4 linked regions of the Rhinolophus ferrumequinum genome follow. The protein of the gene in region 4 purifies or fractionates together with the protein of the main gene of each other region. This does not show direct contact. Links are inferred from orthologs where the notes say so. Each region holds a gene or a part of one and is shown on either strand. Other genes may lie near its edges. The genes, in order: LAMTOR3, LAMTOR1, LAMTOR4 and SLC38A9.

Region 1 (7,388 bases), on a different chromosome or scaffold from region 4:
AATCATTCATAATCTTTCTTGCGTGTATCTTCTCTTTCTCTTTCTGATTTTGACATTTACTAGTTATGTGACTTGGAGCAAAATCAACTAACCCTTTTCTCTAAGCCTCAGTTTCATTCTTTGTTGAGAAGGGATAATAACAGAACCTACGTCATAATATTATTTTTAAAGTTTACCGAGAAGATGCATGTTAAGTGATTAGCATATCTGGAAATGGGAAACCCAAATACGTATTAGCTGTAAAATTAGATCACACTTTTCTTACTATTTCACATCCTGTTGCTACTGTTGTGTTCACTTAAGAATATATTATGAACATCTTTCCACATCTATATATATTACATCTTTCTTATATCACTTCAACAATTCTGGGTAAGTTGATTAACTTCTCTGAAATTAAATCTCCTCACTTAAAATATGACAATGTTTGCCAAGTGTTTAGCATGGAACATAATTAACAAAATAAATAGAAGACTATTTTATTTGATCTCTTTATACCTGGGGGATTTCACTGACAATCCAAGTATCAATTAAAGAGCTCTACATAGACAAATCAGATATCTGTGGTTTTGAACCTCTAATCCCTACTATTCTCCAAACCTGAATATTCATTTTATTCCATATTATCACTACCAGTTTACCTTTGCTCTCATTTTAAACACACACAAAAAAACCTCAACTCATCATGTTTCATCTGAAACCCAGATTTCCTCAATCTCTTTTCGTTTTCACTAATGGGACTACCAAACCCATTAATTCAGGTTTGAAACTAAGAGTAATACCTAACCCTAACCTCACGTTTGTCACTTTTAAATCACTTGTGAAGTCAAATGTTTTTAAACCGATCTCTTCTTCTCCTTTTCAACTGACATTACAGTTTATTTTCATTCTATTATTTACGACTTGCACTAGCTTCCTAGTTGGTATGCTGATCTCCCGCATCTATTCCATACAGGTCTACATGGTGTCAATAATCCTATTATTCTCCTTCTCTAAAACTGTAATTGTAGGGATTCTCAACCTTGGCTATGGATAACACGTGAAAAGCTTCAAAAAAAAAAAGGCCACTGTTGACTAGATGGCTAGGTTAGAGGTGCTCCCCAGATTACCACCTATTCAGCCACGGTTGAGAACAAATATTGAAATGGCTCTCCACTGTTCACTGAATTATGTACAAACTCTTTAGACATTTGAGCCTCTACAATATGGCCTACAACTAAGTTTACAGTTCTGCTTCCTACTGCTGTCTCACACAGATCCTCAGCCCTAGCTAAATTAAACTACTCACAGCTCTTCCATACACAACCTTTCCCTTTCCTATGTAATATTGTTCATGCTATTCATTCTACTAGCAATATTCTCCTTCTGAATCTTACTTTTTAAAACTGCTACTCATCATTTAGAGTTAACCTCAACCACCAAACACTCCAAATAGGTTTTCCTGATAGACACAAACCAGATGTAATCCCTCTCTCCTTTGAATTTTCACACAATAATGCATGCATATCTGATCATTTGTCTACTTTTTAAAACTGTAAAACCCCTAAGAGGAATTATACCATAGTCCTCTTCATTTCACCCACAGTCCTTATTATAACAACCTTTTGGCTGCTCAATAGATATTTAGTGATTTGATTATGCCTGAAGGATAATGTCTCAAAAACATAATGGAAGACACCCAAAAATGTAGTGATAAAGGCATGAAAGTTGCTTAATGTTGAAACACATAATCTTGCAACGTAAAAAGAAAAATCAGATTCATATTAATGCTGAATGACTAGCAAAATGGTTAAGTGCACTGACTCTGGAGCCAAAATACCTGGGTTGGTATTTTCACTCTTAGTACTAGAGTAACCTGAGGCAAGTTACTCGATCTTTCTGTGCTTTAGCATCCTTATCTATGACACAGGGATAATGATCATGCCTACCTCCTAAAGCTGAGAATGAGCGTATGTTCAATATTTATAACACTCAGGATGTACGTAAGCAAAGTAACATATGTAAAATATAAACATTAGTACTAGTATTAATTTCCCGCTGTTTCTAGTAACTAGAACAATTAAGTTCCTTAAACTTAGAATCTGGCTTTTACTGCTGTGCTCAAGACTTGTCAGTTGAAAAATCATCTCAAATGGCTCCAATGAACCCAGAAAGACATCATGACCACTTGCTGGGAAAAAAAAGGATTCCAAGCAGCAAAGCACCATTTAGAAATTCAAATGGTAAATATTCGGAGCCTCTTATGCCCGCAGGGCTGTGGAGTGAGCACGGGCACCTAAGTGTCCTACAGGCCCATGCAAGGCACAAACTCACGGCCCCAGGAAATCCATTCATATTAATCTCTAACTCCAGATCTTGGAGACAATAACTCAAGGTGTAGAGGGGCAAAAATAAAACAAATTTCTCTTTGGGAAGCACAATCTTTCCCCACCCAGTATGCTCCAAACTCCCCACCACTTGCTTCCTCTTGTGCGGGGGTGTTAACTCACATCCGCCATGACGAACCCCTTTCTCCCGCAGGTTCAATATCCACGCCTGAAAAAGAAACTCCTGGTGAGGAAATCTGGGTTTCAGCGGGGTCAGCTGTCATCAGGGTCAGGCAAGAATCCGCGGCTCTAGGCCTGGGACCAGAGAGATCGCAGGGAGACACACTGCCCAGATACCCACAAGAACAGCCGGGGTGCCTTACCTCAGCCCACTCCGCCTCCCCAGCCCCCAAGGTCTAAGCCCGAAATAAAGCGGAAGGGGCATCCTCTGCTCTTCCAGCTCACCGCCCGTAACACCCGCGGGCCCAGGCCTGAACACCGAGCAACGTGGCTCCAGTTACCCGGTTTCTGGGCTGCCCGGTTCTTTGGGTCGCAGGGCTCTGGGCTGCCTGCTGTCCTTCAGGGACAGCGTCAAAGACAGGTCTTTCTGAAAGCTGCCGTCACATGACTTACGACCTCCTCTCCGCTTGAAGCAGCACTTCCTACACCTCCAACGCCGGGTACCATGGGATTTCCGGGGACGCGCGGGGGGAACTGGGAGCGTGCGACTGTGCGTCGCACCCCGCCCCACCCCGCCCTCCCGCGGCTCTCCACAGGCTGCCTCGTGCGCCTGCGCAGACACCAGGTGTTGGAGAGAGGTTTCCTGTCAGGTTGCTGCGCTGTAAAGCTCCCCAGGAAAAGCATGTAAGAAGACATTTTTGTGCGGAGAGTGTATGAATTGCCTTAGTATTTCAGAGTCCGTTATCTTAAAACCTGTTCTTTTAGATCAAAGACTTTGAAGCTGAACAGCAAGCACCAGATGACACGTGATTAGAAGTCCCAGCTCCAAAGGTTCCAGACCCCGATTTCTCTTTTGGCTTTCCCGTTTGCCATCGACTCACTGCTCTTTACTCAAGGTTTTGTGTAGATTGAATTGAGGAGCCATCCTGGGTTTTCTGGAGTTCTCAGTTATGTGTGAACTTCAACATATGCAGCTGTTGGGTAACCTTTATTGGCTCCAATTAGAAGGCTGTGCCTGTAAAGACTTTCCATATTGTTTTCTGTTTGGTGTCTTGTGTGCACCTTTAGCAAAAACCTACAGTAGGTGGCAGGTAAATGAGGTCTACAGGAACTTGTTCAACACTGATCTTCAACTCCAATCCCCAACAGGAGTGCAAAAATAAGTAACTAGCTCAAGACACGGTGAAAAGAATTGGATACTTACTTCCTCGTTATTCCTGAGAAGATGAAATGGTAAACTACAAAGCTCCCACATATTACAAATAACTTCATTATTACAAGTGAATTTAACAGTTACGTAGCAACTGACATCACTGAAGACCACTTCCTTTTCCTCATTTAACCCCTTCGATTTCTTAGCTTCTGGGACACTGCTCTTTCTTATTTTAGGTCTTCACTTACTCTAGTTTCCTAACTCTTAAATGATGGCATTTAAAGCTTGTCTGGTTTCTCATCTCTGTTTTTCTAATTCCACAGTGTCCTGAGAATGTGAGTTCTAATTCTGCACCTTTCTTCTGAGTTCTAGGTTCACATTTTCAGCTGCTTGTTGGATGCTGGATAAATATTTCTACATACATACCTTACTGTCAACTCTAATTCAAAAGCTCTAAAGGTTCTCCAATAAATCTGTTCCTCCTGATGTATGTCTGTATTGGTTTCATAATTCTAGTTAGGTGTCACATTTGCTTTCCATCATGTTCTCTTTTCTTTCCTAACCATGATGCTTGCATCTCTATTTTTTCAATTCTTAGTTCACAGCATTTTTCTATTCCGCAAAACTGTATCAATATCTACTTAACGGCCAGATAGACCTTCTTAGAATACACATTACTGCTGCTCAAATCTTTAGTGATATGCCATTGCAGACAATGATAAAGTTTACAATCTTTAATTTGGCACTAACATTCTATTTTACTTCTGAACACATTCTAATGTGAATCCCATATGCTAGCCAAATTACTTACCTCACCCTTCCATCAACATGACTTATTTTCCCACACTGATTCTGTAGGTTACTTTCATCTGAAGTGATTACTTTTCCTGTAGGGGAGGACAAAGTTCCTTCCACCCTCTTAGGTTCTGTGGCTGGGCCTAAGAATAAAACTGACAGATAACAGGAGGCAAATCATACAAATTTATATAGTATTTTTACGTGCACACGGGAGTCTTCAGAAGGAAAATGAAGAAACAAGTCATTAGACCGAAAGCTTATATACGTTTTTACACAGACAATAAATTGTGGGGATGTAACAAGACAAAGGGGCTCAGGGTAGGGGCAGTAAATTGTGGAACAGACACTATTAAATATATGGAGAAACAAATTGGAGGTAAGGGTTATTTTATTAGGTTTGTAGAGGTTCATTTTGGTATCAATCCCCAGTCTCTGGTGATACGAATGTTCTTCTCTTCCTGGTACAGGGAAGGCACCTTTCGTATAGGAAATTTAATGACCAGTTTTAGGGGAAAGAGGGAAGTCAGAAAGCCCTTCATGCACCTATTAGTGCCTTCACGTCAAAATAGTCAATATGCCAAAGTGGCATATTTGGGGTGGGATGTTCTGAACCCCTTCACTCCCTACTTTATTTAAATCTTGTTTCCCTGTAACTCCTTTTCACCCATCAAATTCTCTTGAATGCTACTATATACTACCAAGAATAACTGATAATTTATTTGTACATAGTTATGTCACAGTTTTGGTTTGCTTCACAAAGAGACCATAAAGTATAGAAGGCTGGGTCAGGTTTTACATTTTTCCAGTTTCTCATGTTGCACTCAACAGGCACTCAGGGAACATCTGTGGAATAAAAGTGATTAAAAGAAATCATTAATCCTGGCCCTGACTAAAACTTCTTATTCCCCCGTCACTATTCCCCCACCCAAGTTTAGACACAAGTAAAGATATGAGCTCTAGCAAAACCTTTTAATTTCTGGAAGTGCTACTTTTTATTTTTACAAAATTCACCATCTTAATGACCTTAATAAATGGTAGTTGACCTGGAAAATACTGACTTTTTTTCTTTGAGTGGCAAAAAGGTAGAGCATAGCTTTCCAAAATCTCCAAACATCACTATGTTCTCAAATGGAAAGAAATAATATTTCTGATTTCCAAGAATGGTGGTTTCTGATTATAGCATGTTAATGGAAGAGTTCCTTATGTACTCTGATTGATCTGTTTGCATTTACTCATTAATACCACTGCTGTTAGTTTAGGACTAGGGTAAATATTTACTGGCCTAAAAGATCATCAGCACGATGTACCAGTTTTCCAAAGTGGGTGTACCAGATGATCCCCGAGGTTCAGGAAGAAACTAGTGGAAATGGAGCGCGCGCGTGTGCGTGCGCGCGCACATACACACCCACACACACACAATTTGTATCTCATTCAAATTTTCTATTTTACTATGTACGAGGTCTGACAATTAAGTTCACGAACTCGTCCTAGAAAAAGTGCTACATACCTCATTGTTGAATATCACTATGGTCACCTTCGAAGTACTCCCCTTGGGAAGCTATGCACCAATGCCAGCGCCTAGTCCACCCTTCAAAGCAATTTTAGAACTCTTTCTAGAATAGCCATCAGATCTGTCATAGTATTACCCTTGATGTCCTGAATGTCATCAAAATGTCTTCCTTTCAATATTTCCTTTATCTTCGGGTAAAGAAAGAAGTCATTGGGGGCCAGATCAGTGAGTAGGGAGGGTGTTCCAATACAGTTATTTGTTTCCTGGCTAAAAATTCCCTCCCAGACAGTGCCGTGTGAGCTGGTGCATTGTCGTGATGCAAAAGCCATGAATTGTTGGCGAAAGTTCAGGTCATCTAACTTTTTCAGGCAGCCTTTTCAGCACTTCAAAATAAATAGTAAACTTGGTTAACTGTTTGTCCAGTTGGTGCAAATTCATAATGAATAATCCCTGTGATATCTAAAAAGGTTAGCAACAACATTGCAACAAGTTCACGAACTTAATTGTCATCAGACTTTGTACACATTATATTAGTATATAATTAATAAATACACATTAAAGTTAACTTTATTGGTTATATTAAAGCCTTTGTTTCTGCTTCTCTTCAGCTTCAATTTCTCTTAGCTGTTGCATACAGCAGATATCGCTAATTTTTTTTTATTCTGCTTTCCTATCAAAAAATCAACAGTTATCTGGATTTAGATTGTCTCTACTGACTGTGTGAAAATTCTAGTTGGTATTCAGATTCATGAGAAGTGTCTTGCTGATTCTCCAACATATAAAAATGAGTTTTATCACTTACACTGTTCAAATTGTATGTCCAATTTTTACTCTGGCCGTGGTTTGGGATTTGGCCCAATGAGAATACAATTATAAGTTCATATGCAATAACTTTCTCACCTATACTACCATCTATTGCCATCACACCCTGGACTTGCACAGTCACCTTAGAAATCACTAATTCCCTCCATCTGTAGTTTACATCCAATAGTCAACCAGTGGAATCACTTAACTGTTAACATCTTAAATTCCCTTACCATCTTTAGTGCCTAACAGAGCCCCAAATTTGAATGAGTTAAATGAGTAGTATTGCCCATGCCTATGCTAGGCTGCTGGGTTAAGCTGGAGAAAGTACAACTACGGAGATTATAAATTCTGTCAACAACCTGGAACCTGTAGAAATCTTACTTTTCAACTAATCAGCTGACTCAGTGAAAATGATTCCTTCCAATTGTCTTCATTCTTTCTAAGCCTCTGCTTATCATTCATCCCGCTCCCCCACTTTACATAAACTGCCTATTTCATCAAGAAAATGCAAGCATAATATTGTCCCATTAACACTACAAATCCACCTGCATCTGTACCCATCCTTTGTGCATTCCTTTCTGAAAAAATGCTGGTGGTATCTACTAGCTAAAGTAATTATTTTATCTTTCCAATG
Region 2 (7,503 bases), on a different chromosome or scaffold from region 4:
CCTTGTTACTATTAGCCGACGTTGACAGTCACAATCCCCAGAACTGAGCTGGGGCCAAACATCTCCCTGGTCCTGTATATTTCTGTGTGTATTTCTCCTTGCAAGGTTTAGTCCCTTGTTATAATCAGCTGTCTTTCTGGATAAGACCTTGCTTTGAGCCCACTCGCTGCAAATCCCTGCTGGCTTGTGTCAGCTGCAAAATGGGTAAGCAGACCTGCTGGGTATCTATCCAAGCCATGAAAAGCGAGGGTCCCCGGACAAAGTCAAGAACAGGGGCCCATCCTGGCGAATGCTGACTCACCAACCTTCAGTGCCAGACCACCAGACTCCTCACTGCTCCACTTCAGGCTTATCTCAGTTCCTACCAGACTTTCCACTGCAGCTCCCAGCTCCCCTGCCCACAACTCCGCAACTCTCCTAGCAGAGGGACACTTCCTTCTGCCCAGCCTGCCCCACCCTAGGCAGGCCCAGCCTTGTCGCATGACTCTTCCTTCTCAGTCGTGGGTTGACCAAGTGTCCTCAGTTCACAGCAGCAGGAAACAGCTTCTGTCCCATCACATCCCACCTCCTAGACACCCCCCTCCCTAAAACACAAGCTAAGTAATAAAGAGCTAGAAAGACAAAATGTTTGCCAAGGATTAAACTATCTCTAAGAATCTCTACGGAAAGTTGGCTCCATGATGAAGTCTGAGTTTGCTTCCTGTGTGTGCATCCTCCTCCATCCCCACTTCAGACAGATTTTCTGGCAGGACAGAGCAGTTTCTCTTCTATCGGATTCTTCAAGAACAAGGTTGTATTCCTGAGACCTATATTCCTGGAAGAGGCCCTCACCCCCTGGAACATCACCTCACCCCCAAAGGGCGAGTGGAACATGGGGGAGGTTTTTCACACCGAGGTTTGTCCCTAAGTCAATGTCAACCCAAGAGCCAGAGTTTCACTGTCTACCGTAGCATAGACATACATGGGGCCTGCCCATGACTAGCCATCTGGTCCGTGGGCACAGCTGGAAGAGACAGCTTGGTCCAATGACAGAGCACATGGCTTGGCATCAAAACACCTTGTTTATGGCTCTCAGCTTTGTAACCTTTGCTAAGTCACTTAGCCTCTCTGAACTTTTTCCTTGCCTTTAAATACGTATAACCTGTACTTAAATGACAGATGTTTGGCAAGAGTCAAATTAGATAACTGTAAAAGGACTCTGAAAACTGTAATGTGTTGTGCATTTCTTATTACTGTAACAAAGAGACAGAGAGGGGGAGAGGGGCCTGCCCAAGAGCTCAAAGAGAGACTTGGGGATAGTGAATGGTTATGGCTTCTAGACTAGGTTAGCAGACTTTTGCCACATGAGGCCTCAAATCACCCAGCACTGATCAAGCACCATCTCAAGGAGTTAGAAACAGAAGTGAGAACCGATCAAGGGGAAGGTGGAAATTGAGAGCAGCAGAAAGCTCAGCTCTTCCAGCCACAAGCTGGTATCCTTTCTCATAAGGCAGGCATTAACCCTTGACTCATTCCCTGCAAGGGTCCATATTATGCTTTCAGGGACAACTCTGCAGTGGGCCACAGCCTTCCCAGTAGGCTGGGATACGGTCTCCTTCTTTGACAGGCTGGGGTGAAGTGAGAGGTATTGGCTATGACACATACCTAACATAAGGCAGAGGAAATATGAGTATGTGTTCACTGGGTGTTTGGAGAATTAAATGAGGCCCAGGAGCCACCCATGCCTCCCATACAAATGACATTTTCCCAAGCCCAAGACCTTAACCCAAAACAGGTTCACGTGAGTCACTGGGGAAAGACATTCTCCCCAGTACCGGTGATATACCGATGGTACCGATGATCCATTTGTGTGTCCATCTACCCAACCTCCACCACCAGACTGTGGACTATTTGCTGAAATCTTTTTACTGTCTCTGTGTCTAGTATGTGTTAAAATGTGGAATCCAGGCATAGAGGCGATCAGAAAGGTGAATGGCCAACAGCTAAGACTTCATCTTTGGAAAGGGCTCTCTCCTGAAAGGAGGTCAGGTGGTCAGGGCCAGGATTAAAGTGTGTTGAGAGGTGAGACTGCACCAAGAGAAAGAGGGAAAATTTAAAACTGTACAGGCTTCCCCAGCCTAATTCTTGCAAAGGGATCAGATCTACAGCCAAATTCCCAGGGCAAGCATCCAACTAGCTAGAGGAACCCTCAGGCCCTAAGCAAGGACTGCACTTAGGCAAGCCAAACCCCAATCCAGCTGAAGCTAAACCCGATTTGTTGCTTCCCAAACAACTTCCTAGACGTCCCAATGTCATCATTGTGTCTATTAAATCCTTCACTGACCAACTCAATGCTACCAACTTCCAGAGGCCTTCTCTGACCCCAGATGAGCAGTGACCTTCCTTCACCAACCCCAGCGACTGAGAGGATACAGATTCCTGATGCATCTTGGGACTAATTAACTCAGAGCCCCAACTTACCCACCTCTACAATGGATTCACCAAGCCCGCTAACAAGCACAGGGAGCTGGTAAGGGAGTGCTTCCCAGGGACCTAAGCTGAGGATCCTTGAAGCTGTAAAGGTTTGAAGGTAGCAAGAGGTGGGAACGAGTAGGATAGGCGGCTGCCCGCATACCCCAACGCGGGGACTGTGCAGAGAGAACTGGGCTTTAACAGGAGTAGGAGCCTGGCCCGGCGTCTCCTCTGTAATCTGTCTCCTCCGGGCCTCCGTACTCAGTGAGCCCTGCCGTCCGGCTCCCCCTCTTCTGCAGGCTTTTTTGTGGGCCCCGTGCCCCAGGGTCTTAGCCCTCATTCCCGAGCCCCGCCCGCCGCGGCCGCACCTGGTCCGAGTCTTCGTTCTCGCTGCTGTAGCAGCACCCCATGGCCGGGGTCGGGCCGGGCGCTCAGGCCGCGCCGAGGAGGGACGCCGTCCGTCACGACCCCTTCCGGTCACATGACCCGTGGCAGCAATTAGCAAGTAATCACCCACCCCCACAACTATCCTTTCCCAGGGCCGCTCGGAAGCTACCGAAACCCCGGCTTCCGGTTCCGCCCCCACCCCGTGATCATCTCCAACCAATGGGAAGGCGCTCCCTGCAAGACAAGAGCGAGACACGTGATTTGAGGAAAGGGAGGGGCGGACCACATGATTTAAGCCTCTTCAATCTCTGAGCTCCAGTTCTTCGCTGCAGCCTTGTAGAGGCTGTGGTGTGAGTTGCGTTATTTGGTCGCTTGGTCGCCCATCACCTTTGTGAGCCGTTGAGCGAACTCATACCAAACGCCGTCATGATGTGTTCTTCTAACTGCCATTCTAAGGGCAAGTGGGATGCACACACATAGGCCCCAGTTGTCGAGCGCCAAGTCAGGAGTGGTGGGGGCACATAGAAGGTTGTGATGCCCAACAGAGTTCTTTTTTGTCAACTTAGACTGGGCATCTGACACTTACTGGAAGAAGGGACTATATACCTTCGCAAGCCAAAGCGAAATGGAGCTCAATCCTGGTAGAGAAGATGGAGGCCACCTCACTGATCTTGCCCTCAGCTATTTCTCTTCATTCCTACCTTTTTATGGCAGGCACAGTAATCACACAAAGCTCACCATGTATTTCTTTTAGAACCATCCTATGTCTTCCCTTGAACCCTGAACACAGGTCTAAGTCTGTCATTCAAGATGCAGATCCTAACACCTGCCTCCCACTCCAGGCCCAGAGGGGTGTTGGAGAGATTGGCGGAATACCTCACCAGCCATAGGGAAATAGTTTCTTGACTGACCTACTGGTGTTTGCACATGTGGCTTGGCAGTCTTCCTCCCCACTGGGTCTGCCTCAATAACAACAACAATATCCTCCTGATTGCCTTTTCTGACTCCATTCTCTGGGCATTTCCAGCTCCCCTGTGCTTAATCCCTATTCATTCATTTATTGGATCAAATATTTAGTGAGTACGTGCAATGAGTCACACACTGTTCTATCTGAATATGTAGCAGTTCACAAAACAGCCAAGAGTTCCTGTATTCATGGGCCATCCATTCTAGTGATCAAATTATATTGCATTCTGTTTCCGCATCAGTTTCTTCTACCAAACATAGAGTTCCTGAAGGACAGGGACAGGATCTGACTCTTCTCTGTGACCCAAGCGCTGGCACTTGTTTAGAGAAAACTTGAATTTGGAATTAATGAGTAAACTACAACCTCCCTACCACCTTGTATGTAGAGTGCCTAAAATAAGGTATTTGTGTGAGCAAGAGTAACTCCATTTTGTATGAGCAAGAGTGACTCCATCTTGGACACTGAGTGTTATGGAAATTACCCATGAAGATAAACAACTTGTTTGTACAAGTAAACAACTACCAGATGGCCATGCAGTTGCTGCATGGACTGATAGGACAAGTCAAAGGAAGTAAACAATTCTAAAGAAGTAAACAAGTCTAAAAAGGTAAACAAGTACCAGATGGCCAGGAAGTAGCTGTGAGGACTGATAAGGTGACGTCATATGGCTCTACTGAATTCCTTAAGAACCCTGGACTTTGACAGCTCAGTGAGCAGGTCTCACTTGAGGTGAACACGCTGCTCCTCTGCTCTGCGAACCCTCCACTCCACTTTGGACTTGGACCCAAACTTTGCCAGACCGTCCTCTGGGACCAGCAACCCGGTGCACCAGATTCTGATTAACTCTTGGACTGGTTCATTATCAAAATACTTTACTAAATTATTATTGCTGTATTTATGGCCATATTGCTATGATTAAATTGCATTCCTCCACTGCATTTTCTGTGTGAATAAATGAGCTTATTGAAAGGCACTAAGCCTGCATTTTTGCCTTAATTCTTGCTAGAAACCATGGCTACCTCAGAGGCCTCAGTCAGTGCCAGGTAGGTCCTGGGGCTCTGAGAGTCTCTCGGGGGTTAGTCCGTCTAACTTGCAGGAAGAGACTGCAGCGCAATCTGTGAGCCTTGCTGACGCTCACAACACCTTGGCTCACCCTGTACCCCATGTCTTCATCCAAGGGGTGGGAAGGGAGGCCACCAAACCCAGTACAGCTCTAATGCTCCTCAAATCAAGACTCAAGAGTCCTGGGAGTTCTGTGAGGCCCCCTGTGGGGTAAGAGGCAGCTCCAGCGTGGCCCTGCTGCTAGTAACTTGAACTGCAGGTCTCAGGTGACAGCAGCAGCCTCAGCATCAATAATTGAGAGCAAGTCCAGCCTGCCTCAGGGTTCTCCACCCACTCCCCAAAGACTCCCCCTCCTGTCCTATGCTGCGATCTTCCCCAAGCAGGAGCCTCCAGCCCAGGTAAGCAGGGCCCTTGAGTGTGGGTTCCCAAGCACACCAGTTCAAATGCACCATCACTCACCTATTCACACCCATTCATATACTCCGACTTTCATTTTTAGTCCCCACCACCAGCAGCAGCCTCACAAGGGTCCAGGGCGATTATCCTTCATAGTGGGTTGGGGGGAAGAGGGCTGAGTGAGGAGCAAGTGTGTGTGTGTGTGTGTGTACGTGTGTGTGTGTGTGTGTATACGTGTGAAGGGAATTCTGAGAGAGAAGAGAGGAATGCAGAGAGGAGTGATAGAACTAGAAAACAAAGAATCAAGGACTCTTTCCATCCCTGCGGAAAGAGCAGAGGGAAAGTCATGGGGTGGGGAGGACATCTCATCCTAACATCCTATGGAATGTTTTGATCGCCTTTTACTAAGGCAGAGCAGTGACAGTAAAGGGGTTTCTGACTGCAAAGCTGTGCTTTTGTTACACGGTAATCAGTCAGAGACCAAGCAGGCAGGGGGTAGGGTGAGAGGAGGATATTTCAGGGGAACTGGTGAAAGGGGTCCTGAAGAAGGGTGACAACAGAGATGAGGGGAAACGGGTAGAGGGAGCAAGGTGAAGATGGGACCAGGAGCTGGAAGTGGGAAGAGGAGGTTTGGGGTTGGGTTCTGAATTTTGCATAGAGTCCCTGAAAGTACATGGGCTTGGGATATTCAAATCCTGGTTCTGCTGTGTGACTCCGGACAAAAGACAGCCTTTCTGAGCACGGTTTGTAAAGTAGAGAGATAATTACTACTGGTAAGGGCTGCACAAATGACAGGCAAATGGCAGGTGTGGGTTTCCCTCCCTGCCTCCTTCTACCCCAGGGTGCAGGCAGGGACCATGTCCCCTGCCATCGCGCTGGCCTTCCTGCCACTGGTGGTGACATTGCTGGTGCGGTACCGACACCATTTCCGACTGCTCGTGCGTGCGGTCTTGCTGCGGAGCCTCCGAGATTGTCTGTCAGGGCTGCGGATTGAGGAGCGGGCCTTCAGCTATGTGCTCACCCACGGCCTGCCTGGGGACCCCGGTCACATCCTCACCACCCTGGACCACTGGAGCAGCCACTGCGAGTACCTGAGCCACATGGGGCCTGTCAAAGGTCAGTGTTGCCTAGCCTTCTGCTCCAGGAAGCACCCCCAAGACGGTGAAGGAAGAGCTGGGATCTGTCACTGCCTTACTGGGTGAACTGGGCAAGTTCTTGACCCTCTATGGGTCTCTTTTTTCTTGTCCGGAAATGAGGGGGCTAGGCAAAGTTATTCCATCCAGCCAACATATATTGCCACCTCCTGTGCCAGGCATGCACTGGGTGCTGGGGGAGGAGGAGGAAGATCTAGGCCACAGGGATGAATCAGCCACAGATGCTGGCCTCAAAGGGGGCATAATGCACAGGGGAATAACCAGCTCAGGACATAACCAGAACTTTGTAATGATCTGTGTCTGAGCCTTTCTCCCCCACCATGGCCCCTACATCCCAGGCAGGGATTCTGTCTGCCTGGATTTGTCTCAGTCCCAGCTCCCAGCACAAGTAAGTGCTTTTAGAGTCTTATTTAAGAAAAGTCATCCAATTCCAAGGTTAGAAATATCTAATTTAAAAAAATCAAGGGGAATGAAACTGTAAGTTCTAGGAAAGGTCTCTCGGGAGCCTAGAAGATGGTCTCTCAGAAGCCTGGTGGTTGTTTCTGCCTGGTCTCTCCCGGAGGAAGCAGCAATTGAACTGTGCCTAGAAGGATCGCTTTCAAGTTGGCCAGGCAGATGAGGATAGGGGTGGGAAGGGCAAAGCCAGCTACATACACTACTAATGTAGCAGGAAGGAATCAGGCAGAATGGTTGACCCTGCGCACAGTGTTTGGGATGGCTGTGGTACAGGCTACAGATGGGAAAAACTGAGAGCTGAAACTGGAAAGACAGGATAGGATTAGTCCAAGAAGATGAATGAATGTCAGGCTGAGGATCCCAAGTTCAATCCCAGAGGCCTTTAGGATCTTAGGAACCAGGGAGTGATAGTGTTAGATTTGTCAGAAAGATTCCCAGTGGCTGGTGTGAAGACTACACTGAAGGAGGCAAGCCTGGAAGGGCTGGAGGACCAGTGGGGTAGCTGAGGCCATCGTCCAAGAGAGAGAAGACCCTAGCTGGTTGGGGGCTGCAGTAAGGCAGGTGAGCATTTGAGATTTTTTTCTGTCAGGAGCCTGCATCCATCTCCCAGGTCTGCTGCAATAGCCATCT
Region 3 (7,842 bases), about 56 Mb from region 4:
GGCAGTGGGTGAGCAGAAAGCCTTAGTTCTAGCAGCAGGCCAAGAAAAAGGTGGAAGGAGTTTGCATCTTCCTCATCGCAGAGGCTCATGGACCCAGTACACTTCTGCCCCTCGCCCTTGGCAGGTTCAGACATCAATGGGCTCCCGGCCTCGGTTCTGTCTCTTCACCACAAATACCCTCTGTCCTGACACAGTCACCAGCAGCGTGTGTTCTCCAAAGACCACTGCAAGGGAGACATACCTTCCCCCACCCCGAGAGAGGGAAGGGAACACACAGTTAGTGGAGTGCAGTGGCCTCCATCGGGTCACACACAACCTGGCTGGGATCAAAAGCCAAAGAAATCCGATGGTTCAAGGCTCAGAGTTCTGAGGATGGAAGGTCTCCATTCAATCCCCTTCCTTCTCTTGCTTTTTCATACTTCTGATGCAGTGGTGAATCCCAAAGGGAAGACAGTGGCCAAGGGGAGATGGTGGGAGGTTGGGAGGACATAAGTGTTTTTTCCCCTGAGGAGCGCACCCCACCTCTGGGAGCACCCCACTTCCTATCACCTCCACGAGGGGTGGGGACTAGGGCTCACCTGACAGGCGCTTGAAGGGTATGTTCATGCCATGGTGCAGCCGGAAACCGCAGGCCGTGCTGACCAGCTCAGAGATGGCACTGGCCGCTTGCTCGTCATTCTCGAGATCCCCAGATGACTGCATGAAGATGGAGGAGACAGGATGACAAACATTAGGGAACAGAATTGGCAATTTCGAGGGAACAGTCACTCTGGCTCTAGCATTGGTATTCTCTCCCTCACCAGGTCCTGGCACCCCTCAGGTCACCCCAGTTTTGGAAAAACCTAGAACTTTCCTATGATGTTGCCCCTTGATGCCATCGTTTCTCATCCTTATACTGGGCTTCCCCGATGAGCAGTGACTCTCATCCATTTCTTTACTGACCTTTCCTAATCCCTTGAAACTCGTTATCTCTCCCTGGCCCCACTTATTTGTAAAATCATATTTTCAAAATCAGTCCCCCCCCTACACTGGCTTGTTCAAGGCTGCTTTTCCTTAGTCTTCCCACTTGTTACTCTGTCTGCAGAATCTGAAATAAACATCCCCTTTGCCCTTGAACCCCTCCATATTACCTAGCCCTTGGGTAATGATGTGACAGTGGCCCGGGCTTCCTCTTTTCTGCTGACTGTCACAACTTCTTCCTACCTCTCAATATGGGCCTCTCACTATGTCACTCAGTTTCCTCATCTGTAACTTGGAGACAACGGTACCTTTCTTATGGGCTCGTGAAGGTTACGTGAGATAATATTGGCAAGATGCTTAGAACAGCGCCTAGCAATATACGTTAACTGCTGTTATTCTATGTCAAATCAAACTGAATGGCTAAAGTCAAGCCATCAAAATTCCCCTTACCTCTCCCCCTCCCCAATCAACTTCCTTAATAACTTCCTATTAAGGCACCATCATTCTAGGCTTGCATTCAAAGTCGTACTGGGTGGAAGTACCTCTAGTCATTACCAAGACATACTGAGTCTTTCAATTCTCTTCTCTCCTTGCTGCTCATTGTCACCAGCTCAGTCTCATACCTCAATTTCCGCAGCAGCCTCTGCTTCTGGATCCTGCCCCTTCCAGCCCATCTTCATACTTAATAGAACAATCTTGCTCAACTATTTCATCAGCTCATGTTTCTGTTCAAAAACCCTTCAAAGCTCCTATTATCCTCAAGATTACCCCAAATGTGTTAACTTGGCCTTGAGAGTCCTCCACAATCAGATCTTTCCTTACTATATTCTCTTCCCCTAAACCTTTTCAAATTTTAACACAAATCCACTAATTCAGACAGGCTCATGTCACATTCCCGCAAATACATCCTGCATACTCCTTTTCTGCCTGTTCATAACCATCCATCCTTTAAGCCCAGCTGAATTTTTACCTCCAAGAAGGATTCCTTGTCATAACACAAGTTATATCACGAAGGATTGAATCCTTCATTTTCTGGACTCCTTCAGTAGTCTTTACTACTCACATTGCTTTCAACTTTTAACCTTAAGCCTTGCCTCTAGCTAAATTGAAAAAACTTCTAGAGAGCTAACCCTATATTGTACTAGGGAACAAAATACAAAGCCTCTTTAATAAATACCAAATAAAGACATATTGGAGAATAACCCAGGTAATCATAGTTAGCAACAAACCTGTAGCCAGTTGTCTGACTTTGGTCAAGTTAGTAAACCCTTTTACCTCAGAACAGTTACCACACTACGATTCCAGAGATTTATTTAATTACTGAAAGCTTACTATATGCCAGGCATGATACCAACAGCGGGAAATTAGGCTAAACTGGGCAATGTTACAAGGGATCACCGGGCCATGTGTACTTGGGGGGACCCCCTCCCTTGCCCAGAACGCACCGCCAGCACTGCGCCTTCACTCAGCACCAGGTAACCAAGTTGATCTGGGATGCGCTCCAGCCCCTGGGTCAGTGCAGAAGTCTAGTGTGTAAAGATGCAATCAATGACAAGCATGCTAGGAAGATGGCCCTCGATACTCTTCACTTGCAACCCATCCTCCCATGACAGTACCCGCCCCCCCCCCAGACCCCTTCCCCCAGTCAGGGCCCTTCCAGACCCTCTTACCTCTACATGGCTTTCCACACTCATCTTCCCGCATCTCCATCTGTCCTCACTCTCTGCCTCTGGGCTCCCTCGTTCTTTCACATCCCACCTTTGCTACCACCGGACGCCTTCGCAGCCCCACTGGCCCCTCTCTCCAGCCCCCTCTCCAATTCCCCATGTGGCCCCCCCTCGTCCGCAGACTACTCCCCAGCCCCTGTACACCCTCCCACAGATCGCTCCTCAGCTCTCTACATCGCCATCCCTGCCATCTCCATTCCCTCTCTGTCCGGGACGGAGAGGAGGGGAAGACGAAGTGCGGGCCCAGGAACGGGCACCCAAAGAGATTGGGGAACAAGGGCACGGAACCCCCCAAAGCGTACTCTCGCGCATGCGTCCTCACTCACCATCTCAGCCTTAGGTGCTGGGGAAACACCAGACCAGATAGGTAGCTTCCGGCTCCAGACCCAGGTCACGTGCTTCCACCGGGCGGTCTCCTTCTGCCCTGCGTCTCCGTACTTTAGTCCCGCCCCCAGAACACGGATTGGAGCTTGACTACGTCATCAGACTTAATCTGCCAGTGCGGAAAGCCGGTTTTCCAAGACGCACGCAAACACCCATCTCCCCGCCCCACAACCGCGAGCTCTGGGCGGCAGGGGGGAGTGTTGGCTTAGGGGAAGGCCTAGAGGGGCGGGGCCGGAGGGAGAGGGTGGGCTGAGGCTGTGCGCCTGCGCGCCTAGTGTGTGTGGGAGGGCAACGGGTTCTGCCGGGGTGAGACTGCCCACGGATGTGAGCACAAGCAAGAGAGTAAAATGAAAGGACGTGACGCGCCTGAGAAAAGCTTTTGAAATGCTACTCTTCTGCCTATTCGACACAGCTCTCTGTTTAAGACAGGGATTTGTTCCCTAAAAAGCATTTCCTCACGGGATTTTGTGAGGAAGGGTGTGATGGGAAATTGAGTACCCCGCTGGGCAAGACAGTTTTAATACTGAATATTCTTTGCTAGGAGAAATTAGAAACAATACCTTGGAGTTACTTTTTAATATGTGAGTATCACATTTGATTTCTAAACCGGCTGCAATACTAATGTGACAGGCGGTGTTGGTGTGGGGACAGAGCCCCAAAAAGCAGTTTCCAGGCTCTTGGCCTCACATAGAAAGGTGCTGGCTCAGGTAGTAAATGGCCATCGACTGTGATCAAATGGCCACCAGCTGTGGCTAGTTGGCCGTCAGCTGTAACCAGTGAGCCACTAGCCATGAATATAACTGCCGTGGCTACGCTAGCAGGAAATGGGGGCTAGCAAGAAGATGGGGGCTGAGCCTGCAAGCGGCGCAGTGAGGGTTGAGAATTGTGTGGCTCCTGTTTCCTGTGTCTCCAACCCAGCCGCCAGTGAGAGTATAGTGGTGTGACTCCCCTACCTATGGCTCCGTGGGTGTTCCTTTTTGGCCTCACCATGTCCTGCATTCTTATGTGGGGAGTGGGATCAGAGACACCGCCTGACACCCCGCAGGACACCCCGCACGACAGTTGGTAACTGTGAAATGAAAAACGGAGTCTGTAACTATTAATAGTAAGTACTTGGGGGAGGATGTGGAGAAATTGGAGTCTTCCTACATTGCTGATGGGAATGTAAACTGGTTCAGCTGCTGTGGAAAACATCAGCGGTTCCTGGAAAAGTTAAATACGGAGTTACTTACTGTATGACTTAGCGATTTCACGCCTAGATATATGAGAATTGAAAACATATGTTCACACAAAAACTTGTACACAAATATTTCTAACATCATTATTCATACTACCCTGAGATGGAAACAACTCAAATATCCACAAACTGAAGAATGGATAAATAAAACGTGGCATAGCCATACAAAGGAATTTTTTCTAGCCATAAAAAAGGAATGACGTACTGATACGAGGAGTCATCAAACAATACGGTGAATGTTTAAATAAAAAAAAAACCTATTGCAGTAAAAGACACATTGCCATTCATCCCCCTTAAAATACTCCTCCTCACTTCGAACACATTTATCCCACTGTTCTTGCCACTTTCTGAAGCAGTTCTGGAAGTCTCTATTGTATCTTACCTTCTTCCTCCATCATGACAGTGCTCTGTGTCACACATTGCTTCTGGTAAGGCAATTTCTGTCAAATAAAAACATTGTGCAGCCGGCCCAGTGGCTCAGGCGGTTAGAGCTCCATGCTCCTAACTCCGAAGGCTGCCGGTTCAATTCCCACATGGCCCAGTGGGCTCTCAACCACAAGGTTGCCAGTTCAATTCCTCGAGTCCCGCAAGGGATGGTGGGCTGCGCCCCCTGCAACTAGAAAATGGCAACTGGACCTGGAGCTGAGCTGCGCCCTCCACAACTAAGACTGAAAGGACAACAACTTGAAGCTGAACGGCACCCTCCACAACTAAAATCGAAAGGACAACAACTTGACTTGGAAAAAAGGCCTGGAAGTACACACTGTTCCCCAATAAAAGTCCTGTTCCCCTTCCCCAATAAAATCTTTAAAACAAAAACAAAAACAAAAAACATTGTGTCCTCATCCACCTTACTCACCAGATCTGGCACTGTACAACTTCTGGCTCTTCCGCAGAGTCAAAATGATTATGAAAGGTAAATGTTTTGAATCGATTCAGGACATTGGGCATCGAGGCAGCCACAACAGTGCAACTGAAGACACTGTGGGGACAGAGTCCCAGAGAGCAGTTTCCAGGCTCTCGGCCTCACGTGGAAAGGTGCTGGCTCGGGTAGTAGATGGCCATCAGCTGTGACTAGTTGGCCATCAGCTGTAACCAGTTAGCCATTAGCCACTAATATAACTGCCCATGGCTATGCTAGGTTGGTTGGTTGGCAAAGAGAAGTAGACGGCAGGTTGTGGATCGTGTGGCTCCTGCTTCCTGTGTCTAACCCAGCCGCTGTCGAGACTATAGTGGTATGACTCCTCTATCCATGGCTCCATTGGTGTTGCTTTTTGGCCTCACCATATCCTGCATTCTTGTGTGGGGAGCAGGACCAGAGTCCCTGCATGACAGACACTCACGAAAGAGGACTTCCAGAACTGCTTCCGAATGTGGCAAGAATGATGCCATAAGTGTGTTTGAAGCAAAGCGTAGTATTTTGAGGGGGATTAATGGCAATGTGTCTTTTCCTGTAATAATTTTCTTAAATTTAAACACCGTATTGTTTGATCAGACCTTGTACATGATACAACATGGATAAACATTGAAAACATGCTAAGTGAAAGAAATCAGACACAAGGCCGCAAATTTTATGATTCTCTTCATGTGAAATGTCTAGACTAGGCAAATCCATAGAGACAGAAAGCAGATTAGTAATTGCTAGGGTCTGGGGGAGAGAGTAATGGGGAGTGATTGCTAATGTGTCGGGGGTTTCTTTTTGGGTGACGAAAATGTTCTGGAATTATATAGTGATGATGATTGCACAAACTTGTGAATGTAATAACAATTGAATTGTACACTTTAAAATGGTGAATTTTACTGTATGTGAATTATATCTCAATAAAATAAAACTGTGTACTGTTTCTTGAGGGGAAAGCTAATTAGAGAAGATGGGTGCCCTTTTAAAAATGAGGTATGTTTATAATATAAAATTTAAACTGGAGGAGGACATAGAGAGAAAGAATTTTGCGGAGATGCTTAATTTGCAAAGCCTTCCCTGGATTTAAGATATTGATGACAGTTTGTAACATCATTTTTTTGCACTTACTGTTCAGAGTATTTTCATCCATGCACTCATTTACCTTCATGTTAACTGCCCTGTAATAGTATCCCCATTTTGCAGATGAGGAAGTGGAAACTTGAGAGAGGTTGAGCCTTGCTCATAAGGACACAGCTGAAAAGTGACAGAGCCAGATTCCAGTCTAAGTTTGCTGACGGTGAGGCTGATGCTTTTTCTATTGCTCCCTGGGCCAACTACATTTAGTATTATTTTTAAGCTACATTTAATATTACCTCAGAATGTCTGCACTCATTTTTCTCAACACAGAGGAACGCTTAGCAGGACAAAGCTCATCAGCCATCATTAAAATTATTTCATTTTCACAAACAGCTTGAATCATACTAATCCTGTAGAGAGCCAGGTTTCTCATTCTTTCATTCAATGAGTGTTAATTGAGCACTCTTCTTGGAATTGAAGGTACAATAGTGAATAAAAACAAGACTTTTTTTTGTTTTGTTTTCAAGAAGCTGTGAGGGAGAGGGTAAGCCAGACAATCAATCAATCAATCAATCAATCAGAAAATAAATGTTAATTGGTGAGAAGTGCTACGAAGAAAAATACAGAAGAGTTCCATTTACACTAAGTTGAAAAACATGAAAAACAAAATAATGTATTATTTAGGGAGATACATATGTTTGTTTGTTCGTTTTTTGAACTTTGATTTATTTTAAGTGTGTTTTTCCAGGACCCATCAGCTCCAAGTCAAGTAGTTGTTTCAATCTAGTTGTGGAGGGCACAGCTCACAGTGGCCTATGTGGGGATCGAACTGGCAACCTTGTTGTTAAGAGCACCGAGCTCTAACCAACTGAGCTAACCACCTGCCCCAATACATGTTTATATATATATATATATATATACACAATAGGGATGTATGAGAGATGACAATTAAATTCGCGAACTCCTCCTACAAAAAGTGCTACATACCTCATTGCTGAATATCATTACGGTCACCTTCAAAGTACTCTCCTTGGGAAACTATGCACCGACTCCAGTGCCTAGTCAACCCTCAAAGCAATTTTGGAACTCTTTTTCTGGAATGGCCATCAGAGCTGTCATCGTATTACCCTTGATATCCTGAATGTCATCAAAATGTCTTCCTTTCAATATTTATTTCCTTTATCTTCAGGTAAAGAAAGAAGTCAGATCAGGTGAGTAGGGAGGATGTTCCAATACAGTTATTTGTTAACTGGCTAAAAACTCTCTTACGGACAGTGCTGTGTGAGCTGGTGCATTGTTGTGATGCAAGAGCCATGAATTGTTGGCGAAAAGTTCAGGTCGTTTTTGTCTAACTTTTTCATGCAACCTTTTCAGCACTTCCAAATAGTAAACTTGGTTAACTGTTTGTCCAGTTGGTACAAATTCATAATGAATAATCCCTCTGATATCAAAAAAGGTTAGCAACATCGTTTTGATTCTTGATGGAACTTTTTTGGTTGTGGAGAATTGGCTGACTTCCATTGTGCACTTTGACACTTTGTTTCAGTGTCGTATTG
Region 4 (7,049 bases):
CATTTCTAGTAATAAAACAGATTAGGCTATTTGGACCTATTTTTCTGCATAAAACAAAAAATACTGGATAAAATATAAAAAAACATCTTTTGAAAAGCTTCAAAAATAGTGAGAAAAATCAGGCCATTTGCAGGTAAAGTCAAGGAACCTAGAGAGGTAAATAGCTCAAGGAAGTTTCTTCTGCTCTGAAGGTATTTTCTGTACCAGGAGAAATTGGGCTGAGGTTTTCAAGGCCTTGTGAAGTATTAGGGAAATAGAAGACAAAACCTGGGATTCACTCAAAGTAAGGAATGATTATAAGAAATCACCCCTACTTCCCATAATTTGGCTGGGACTACATAGAGCTTTACCATTAGATTAGGGGTTAACAAGTAAAAGTGCCTCACTACCTCACAAGGGAACTACAAACAAGTTTTCTTGACAATGACCATAGCATGTGCGTGCATGTGTGTGTATGCCTGTGTGTATGTGTGGTGGGGGAAATGGTATATACCACAAACTGCACCTCATCTGGATTTGCAAGGCAGTTAAAAGAACACATAAATCTGTGAATATAATTTAAGGCTCATTTGCTTGGTAGAGCTTCTAGGTAACGGGCAGAAGCAAATGTAAATCTTTTCAGTAAGGACACACCTTCATCCTAGTCCTCAAAGAAGAACTTGCTGACAATCTTTTAAGGACAATAAACAGTATACAGTCCAAAGTCACCTAGCATGTAAAGAAATAAAATACTGTTAGTGAGAACCAGAAGAAACAACTGTAGAATGATCCACAAGGACTTTAACTATAGGAATTAATCAGAATAAAATTATAAAACAATTACGCTTCTTATGTTTAAATAAAAGAAAAAGAGGACATTTTCAAAAAGTAACTGAGGATGTTTGAAAATCACGAAAGTGAATTTTTAGGCCAAAAATTTAAAAAAATAAACAAATACAATAGCTAATATTTTAAACTCAATGAATGGGTTTAAAAGTTGAAAATTAATGAACTAAAAGATTAAATCAGAAGAAATTATCCAGAATGTGGCAGAGAGAGGAAAAAAAAGAAAGGCTGAAACCGTGGAAGAGAGGTATGAAAGAGGGGAGATAATATGAGATCTAACATGTATGTAACTGGAGAACCAGAAAGAGAGAAGTGGCAAAGGTAATATTTGAAGAGATAATGGCTGACAAATTTCTAGAATTTATAAAAGATAACAATCTGCAGATTCAAGAAATTTACTGAATCCAAGCAGAATGAATAAACGTTATAAGACTAGAAAAAAAGTTAAAATTCCAGACCAAAGGGAAAAAAAGTCATAGGAAGGTCTTGGAATTAACGTGTTCGAAGGCCCTTGTATTGTCCAGGTCAACATTACACTTTGATGTGATGCATGTTGTAATTTTAAAGGTAACTACTAACACTATAGAAAACAGTGTATCATTAAAATCTAGTAGAGGGGGAAAAGAGAATGCTAAAAATTGACCTAAAAAAGGGCAAGAAAGGAGAAAAAAAAAACATAAAAGAGGAAGCATAAAATAGAGAAGATACAAAGTAGAAAGCATAAAATAGAGAAGATTCTCCCATTCTCTCTTAAGACCATGCTAATCAGGGTATCTTCCTCATCCCTACACAAAAACTGCTCTTGTTAGGTCACCAATGACCTCCAGATGGGTAAACCCAAGGGTCATTTCCCAAGTTTTAACTTACTCTCCCTATCAGAAATATTTGCCACAAGGGATCACTCGCTAATAAACTAAATTCACTAGGGCTCTGAGTTTTCTTTACATACTCTGGTCCCTCCTCTTCCTCCTCTGTTTCCTTCACTGTTTGGTCCATATCTCCCAGACTTCTTAAAATTGCAGAGTCCCAAAGTTCAGTGTTGGTCCTCTTCTCTACTTACCATATTTATTAGAATGGAGAAAGTTTAAGTGGTTTAGATAGATCAAACCAGTCACAACATTCCCATAAATCAAAGCCTAATCCAGAGCAAGGCCCTGATTCTCTTCAATTCTATGAAGGCTAAGAGAGGTAAGAAAACTGCAGAACAAAAGTCTGAAGTTAGCAGAGGTTGGTTTATGAGGTTTAAGGAAAGAAGCCGTCTCCATAACATAAAAGTACAAGGTGAAGCAAGTGCTGACATAGAAGCTGCCGCAAAGTATCCAGAAGATCTAGCTAAGACAAGTGATGAAGGTTACACTAAACAACAGATTTTTCAATGTAGATGAAACAGCCTTATAGTGGAAGAAGATGCCATCTAGGACTTTCATAGCTAGAGAGGAGAAAGCAATACCTGGCTTCAAAGCTTCAAAGGACAGGCTGACTCTCGTGCGAGCGGCTAATGTAACTGGTGGTGACTTTAAGTTGAAATCAGTGCTCATTTACCATTCTAAAAATCCAAGGATCCTTAAGAATTATGCTAAATCTACTCTGTGCTCTACAAAGAGAACAAAGACTGGATAACAGCACATCTGTTTACAACAAGGTTTACCAAATATTTTGAGCCTACTGTTCAGATCCACCACTCAGAAATATATGATTCTTTTCAAAATATTACTGCTCATTGACAAAGCACCCAGTAACCAAGAGCTCTGATGGAGATGTATAAGATTAATGTTGTTTTCATGCCTGCTAACACAATATCCATTCTGCAGCCCATGATCAAGGAGTAATTTCCACTATTCCATGCGTTTCACCAAAGAACTTCCCCGAGTGACAGCCGGCTGGCTGCAAGCTGAGCTCTTCCGCTGCAAGCTCAGCTCTTCCTCCGCTTCCCTTTGGTTCTCTCCGCTCCCTCCCGAGGCTACTTGCAAGACCAGGGAACGTGCTCTACCTAAGTAGACCAAGCCCTCAGTTTCCGAGAAGTCGGCAAGAAGGTGGAAAATCCTTTCCATATCCTCTTAACTTACCGCAGCCGGGCTTCTTGTCCCCTGATCAGGAAGAGGCAACAGTCTAGGCCGCGATGGCCGGCGGGGAATGGAGTTCTGAGAGCGTTTAGCCAGCCGCCACTGTCAAACCTCCCGGCGCTGCAGACTACAACTCCCGGTGGCCTCTGCGACAGACAACACGCCCCTCTCTGCAGAGCCCAGCCTTTGGTCATTGAGAAGATGGTCAGCGCAGGTGAGCAAGTCTCTCCTGATCTGCCGCCTGATTTCCGGCCAGTGTCGGATGCCTGCCTGAGACTCTAAGGCATCTGGAAGGAGGGACACTGTAGCCTGCAGTCCTTACAGCCCCGGAAGCCACATGAGAAAGGGCTGATGTGGCATTATCATCTAGGGATGACCTCTCATTATCTGTTTCTCTTCCCAGGTTTGCCTGGCTGTTCTGTACTCTCATCACGTGATTGAACCCTATGGACACCAAGGGAAGCTGGTTTGAAAAAAATGTGTTGGGTTGGCCCTCTTCCTCCCTTGTCTAGACAGTTTTCTTTTTTTTCCTTTTAAATGTGTTGGCAAACCAATCTCTAGGCTAAAAAAAGGAGCTGTGGGAGGATTTTAGCACCCTCTGCCCATCCTTAGCCATTTCTCCCAAAGCCAACCCAAATAAACAATCTAAGTAATGTTAATGTGCGTATACATAAAAGTGCATTTTTGACTTAACGATATTTTCAACTTACTATGGGTTTATTGGGACGTAACCCCATTGTAAGTTGAGGAGCATCTGTATTGCCTGTAAGACAGATAAAAGTTATTTTGCTGATTAGGTTTCCTTATTGAAAAATGTTTGCAACTGCTCCTTGGCCTGCCCTCAAATCATCAGTACATTTTTTGAGAGCTTCCGTGATAGCAAAATTTTTTATTTCTCTGCATTCCAGGCCGAGAAAATAATTTTAGGCAAGGCTGAGATGCACAGAAGTAAATGGTATGGAGTGACATCACTGAAAATGGCAGAGTAGGGAATTTGAAAACTGTCCCTCTGTAAAAGCAACAAATAAGCTGGCAAAATTGCCAGAATCAACTTTTTTTTTTTTTTTTTTAGCTCTGGAATCTAATTTAAAAAACTTAACAACAGCCAGGGGAACATTTAAGACAAGACGGATGAATTTTGGTAAGAGAGCTCTGTGATCATTTCCTACTCTCCAGCTTGGAAGTGGCCTTCACGACAGCAGCCCATATTCTTGGTGTAGTTTGCTGATACCAAGGAAAGCAATATGGACCTTATTCTCAAGGAATTGTAATTATGTGTTTTAACTTATCTGGTGGTTCCTCAAAGGTTTGGCTGAGGGTTTTGTTTTGTTTTGCCTGCCTTAGAGCCTCCCCAGGGCTAAGGCAGCTGCCCAGGCAGTGTTTGTTGAAAGCATGTAAAGCAAATGTATTAGCCACTGCCAGCAGAGGCAAAGTATAACAATCAGAGCAAGCAATAAACAGACCAGAAAGTTCAGGAAGGATGAGGTGAGAGAAGCAGCTACTTGAAGAAATAAGGGTTTTGAAAAGCTCCCTGCTATTCTGGGGAATCCAGAAGGCCATATGCATACCCTGGTCTGGACACATGCTCAGAAAACACCTGAAAAGACCTAAGTTCTCACCTCTGGCTGACCTTCAGGCTCTGTGAAGACAGGAAGTAAAGGCTAAGGCAGAGTTGTACACTGTTTGGCTCAGCATTGAAGGAGTGCCCCAAAATATAGCTAACTGGCAAAGAATGGGAGAAATATTTTTGCGTTCGGCTTTTTTTTTTTTTTTTTTGCTTCTAGGTATTTAATAAAGACACTAGCTGACCACTAGGTTGATGGAACAGAGACTTCAATGGCCACAAAACACAGAATACAGACTTCATAAAATTAGTAGAGTGGTAGTCAAGTTTAGAACCTTGATCGTATTCAAACTTAGTTTTTTAGATCAAGCCTTATAGGTGGTGTTTTGTACTTCCTATATCACATCAGGTCTTTCATTTGTGATATTGAGACTGTACATTGGGCTCAAATATTGTCTCTTACAAAATTCCTCTTCAGTTTTTCACCAGCCATTGATCATTTGCTAGATCACAGTTTTATGTTACCCTCTGAGTTTCAGTAATTTTTTTTTTCAGTATCCTTAGTTTCTGTTTACTAAGTAGTTAGGTCCAAACAAATTAATATGTATTTTTGTCCTAACAACTTAGTAGCCATTTAAATACACACACACTCACACACACACACACATTGAAAAAAATACTTTATTTCATTCTTAACCACAATTGCTTACTAATGGGGTGTGTACACCTGTTGGGCACTGTATAACTTCTCAAACCTTGAAATCAGATGGGACACCACTATCCTCATTTCCTGTTTCACATTGGATTTGGCACAACACTTGCTTGAGATCATAGGAACTGCTGAAAATTCAACTTTTCAAAGGTATCATGTTATCCAAAAGAATTAACTTCATCTAATGCTGAAACTGTGAATAACCTCAAGCTAGTCATTCACCTGGTGTCTGACAGATGTTGCTGTGTTTTTCTCAAAAATTTAAAATACTCTGGCATCCCTGTGAGTTTCCTGTAGTCTCACAGTTTGGGAGGTGTATGTCACTAGCCATTATTTTCCTGGTCTAGAGAAAGAATTGGCAAACTTTTCCTGTAAAGGGCCCAATAGTAAATATTTTAGGCCTTGTGGCTGTATGGTCTCTGTCAACAGTTACTCAATTTTGCCTTTATGGTATAAGTACAGCCAAAATAGACAACATGTAAACAAATGGGGTGGCTGTACTTAAGTTTATTTATAGAAACAGTTATTGGGTTGGACAAACAGCTATTTGTCTTCAGGATCATAGTTTCCTGATCCCTGGCCTACAGGATACAGAGTGGAGATTTTCATTAATTAGCTGGAATTTTTCTAAGGAAGAGACTTTTCCCTGAACAACTTTGTTACCCCAAATGCAGTATAAACACTTGTCTATTTGTTTGTTTTCTTTTGCCAGTTTTCAAAATGAGTTGGTTGCCTAGCGTCTTGCAAAGGTGACCAATGGAGGGTTTATTGTTTTAGTGGTTCTTTTGGTATTTTGTTTGTTGTTATTTTTTTTTTTTTGTATTTTTATGACCTCACAGAGTTTAAAAATATCTTTGATGTGTTTCAATCCTTTGAAGATATATATATATATTTAAATTATAAATAATTTCAAGCTTACAAAAAAGTTTCAAAAAATAGCACAAGGAACTCCCATATAACCTTTATTTAGTGTTATCAAGTGACATTATTTTGCCATATTTGTTTTATCATTTTTTCTCTCCCTTCCTCCCTCTTTCTCTTCCTCCTTTTCTCTGTCTCCTCCCTCTACACACACACACACACACACACACACACACACACACACTTTTCCCTAATCATTTGAGATTAGGTTGTGGACAATATGCCTTCTCCTGAATTCTTCACTATATATTTCCTAAGAACAAGGATTTTCATAGTACGGTGAGCAAAATTAGAACTTTTAAAAACTTACACAATGCTCTTACTCAATCTACAGACCTTGCTCAAATTTCACCAACTCTTCCAAATATGTCCTTTATAGGAATTTTCTTGTCTCATCCAGAGCCCTACATATGATTGATCATGCATTGCATTTAGTCTTCATGTCTCCTTAGGCTCCTTAAATTTGGAATGGATTCTTAAGCCTTTCTTTCTCTTTTATGATGCTGACATTTTTGAAGAATATAGGTCATTTAGTAGAAAGTACCTCAATTTGAATTTTATCCAATGTTTCCTCATGATTAGATTCAAGTTATGCATTTTTTGCAGGAATAATACATGAATATTGTAGTGTCTTTCTCACTGCATCACATCAAGAGGCACATGATGTTGACTGATGTTAAAGGTTCTAGTACCAATTCCAGCATGGGGGATGGGGAGATGGTGTTTTCACACCACCAAGCAATTCTTGGACACCAGCTGGCTGTCCTACACTTTAACTCAATTCTAACACTATCTACCTGCAGATAGCATCAGATCCACAGGTTAAGGGTTCAGTCCTACAAAAATCCCCCCCCACTTTCATCCTCTATTTTAGATGTCAATTGAAAGTCCAAGATGTCACCTGTGATTCTGACCTACCAGCTACTATCTGAGGTTGCCATGACCCGCTCCGTGGGTTCTATTA

The links.
Region 1: the proteins of SLC38A9 (region 4) and LAMTOR3 purify together in Homo sapiens (affinity purification with mass spectrometry; 3 studies listed by BioGRID and IntAct, with this or other methods). This does not show direct contact. The link is inferred for Rhinolophus ferrumequinum from reciprocal best matches to the Homo sapiens genes SLC38A9 and LAMTOR3.
Region 2: the proteins of SLC38A9 (region 4) and LAMTOR1 purify together in Homo sapiens (co-immunoprecipitation; 5 studies listed by BioGRID and IntAct, with this or other methods). This does not show direct contact. The link is inferred for Rhinolophus ferrumequinum from reciprocal best matches to the Homo sapiens genes SLC38A9 and LAMTOR1.
Region 3: the proteins of SLC38A9 (region 4) and LAMTOR4 purify together in Homo sapiens (affinity purification with mass spectrometry; 4 studies listed by BioGRID and IntAct, with this or other methods). This does not show direct contact. The link is inferred for Rhinolophus ferrumequinum from reciprocal best matches to the Homo sapiens genes SLC38A9 and LAMTOR4.

What each region holds. Positions count from the first base shown.
Region 1 is NC_046288.1:51,294,652-51,302,039, forward strand, and holds the start of LAMTOR3 (ragulator complex protein LAMTOR3), read right to left. Parts: upstream 3,012-7,388; 5' UTR 2,828-3,011; intron 2,797-2,827; exon of another isoform or gene 2,690-2,796; intron 2,536-2,689; 5' UTR 2,499-2,535; coding exon 2,490-2,498; intron 1-2,489. UniProt on the Homo sapiens protein: As part of the Ragulator complex it is involved in amino acid sensing and activation of mTORC1, a signaling complex promoting cell growth in response to growth factors, energy levels, and amino acids.
Region 2 is NC_046294.1:47,696,599-47,704,101, forward strand, and holds the start of LAMTOR1 (ragulator complex protein LAMTOR1), read right to left. Parts: upstream 3,017-7,503; 5' UTR 2,862-3,016; coding exon 2,820-2,861; intron 2,810-2,819; exon of another isoform or gene 2,348-2,809; intron 1,774-2,347; exon of another isoform or gene 1-1,773. Other genes in the region: transmembrane O-methyltransferase homolog, read left to right, coding at 5,248-5,265, 6,105-6,379. UniProt on the Homo sapiens protein: Key component of the Ragulator complex, a multiprotein complex involved in amino acid sensing and activation of mTORC1, a signaling complex promoting cell growth in response to growth factors, energy levels, and amino acids.
Region 3 is NC_046290.1:90,639,220-90,647,061, reverse strand, and holds the start of LAMTOR4 (ragulator complex protein LAMTOR4), read right to left. Parts: upstream 3,001-7,842; 5' UTR 2,655-3,000; coding exon 2,631-2,654; intron 2,487-2,630; coding exon 2,406-2,486; intron 697-2,405; coding exon 579-696; intron 242-578; coding exon of another isoform or gene 225-241; coding exon 127-224; 3' UTR 1-126. UniProt on the Homo sapiens protein: As part of the Ragulator complex it is involved in amino acid sensing and activation of mTORC1, a signaling complex promoting cell growth in response to growth factors, energy levels, and amino acids.
Region 4 is NC_046290.1:34,663,394-34,670,442, forward strand, and holds the start of SLC38A9 (sodium-coupled neutral amino acid transporter 9), read right to left. Parts: upstream 3,007-7,049; 5' UTR 2,892-3,006; intron 709-2,891; exon of another isoform or gene 634-708; intron 1-633.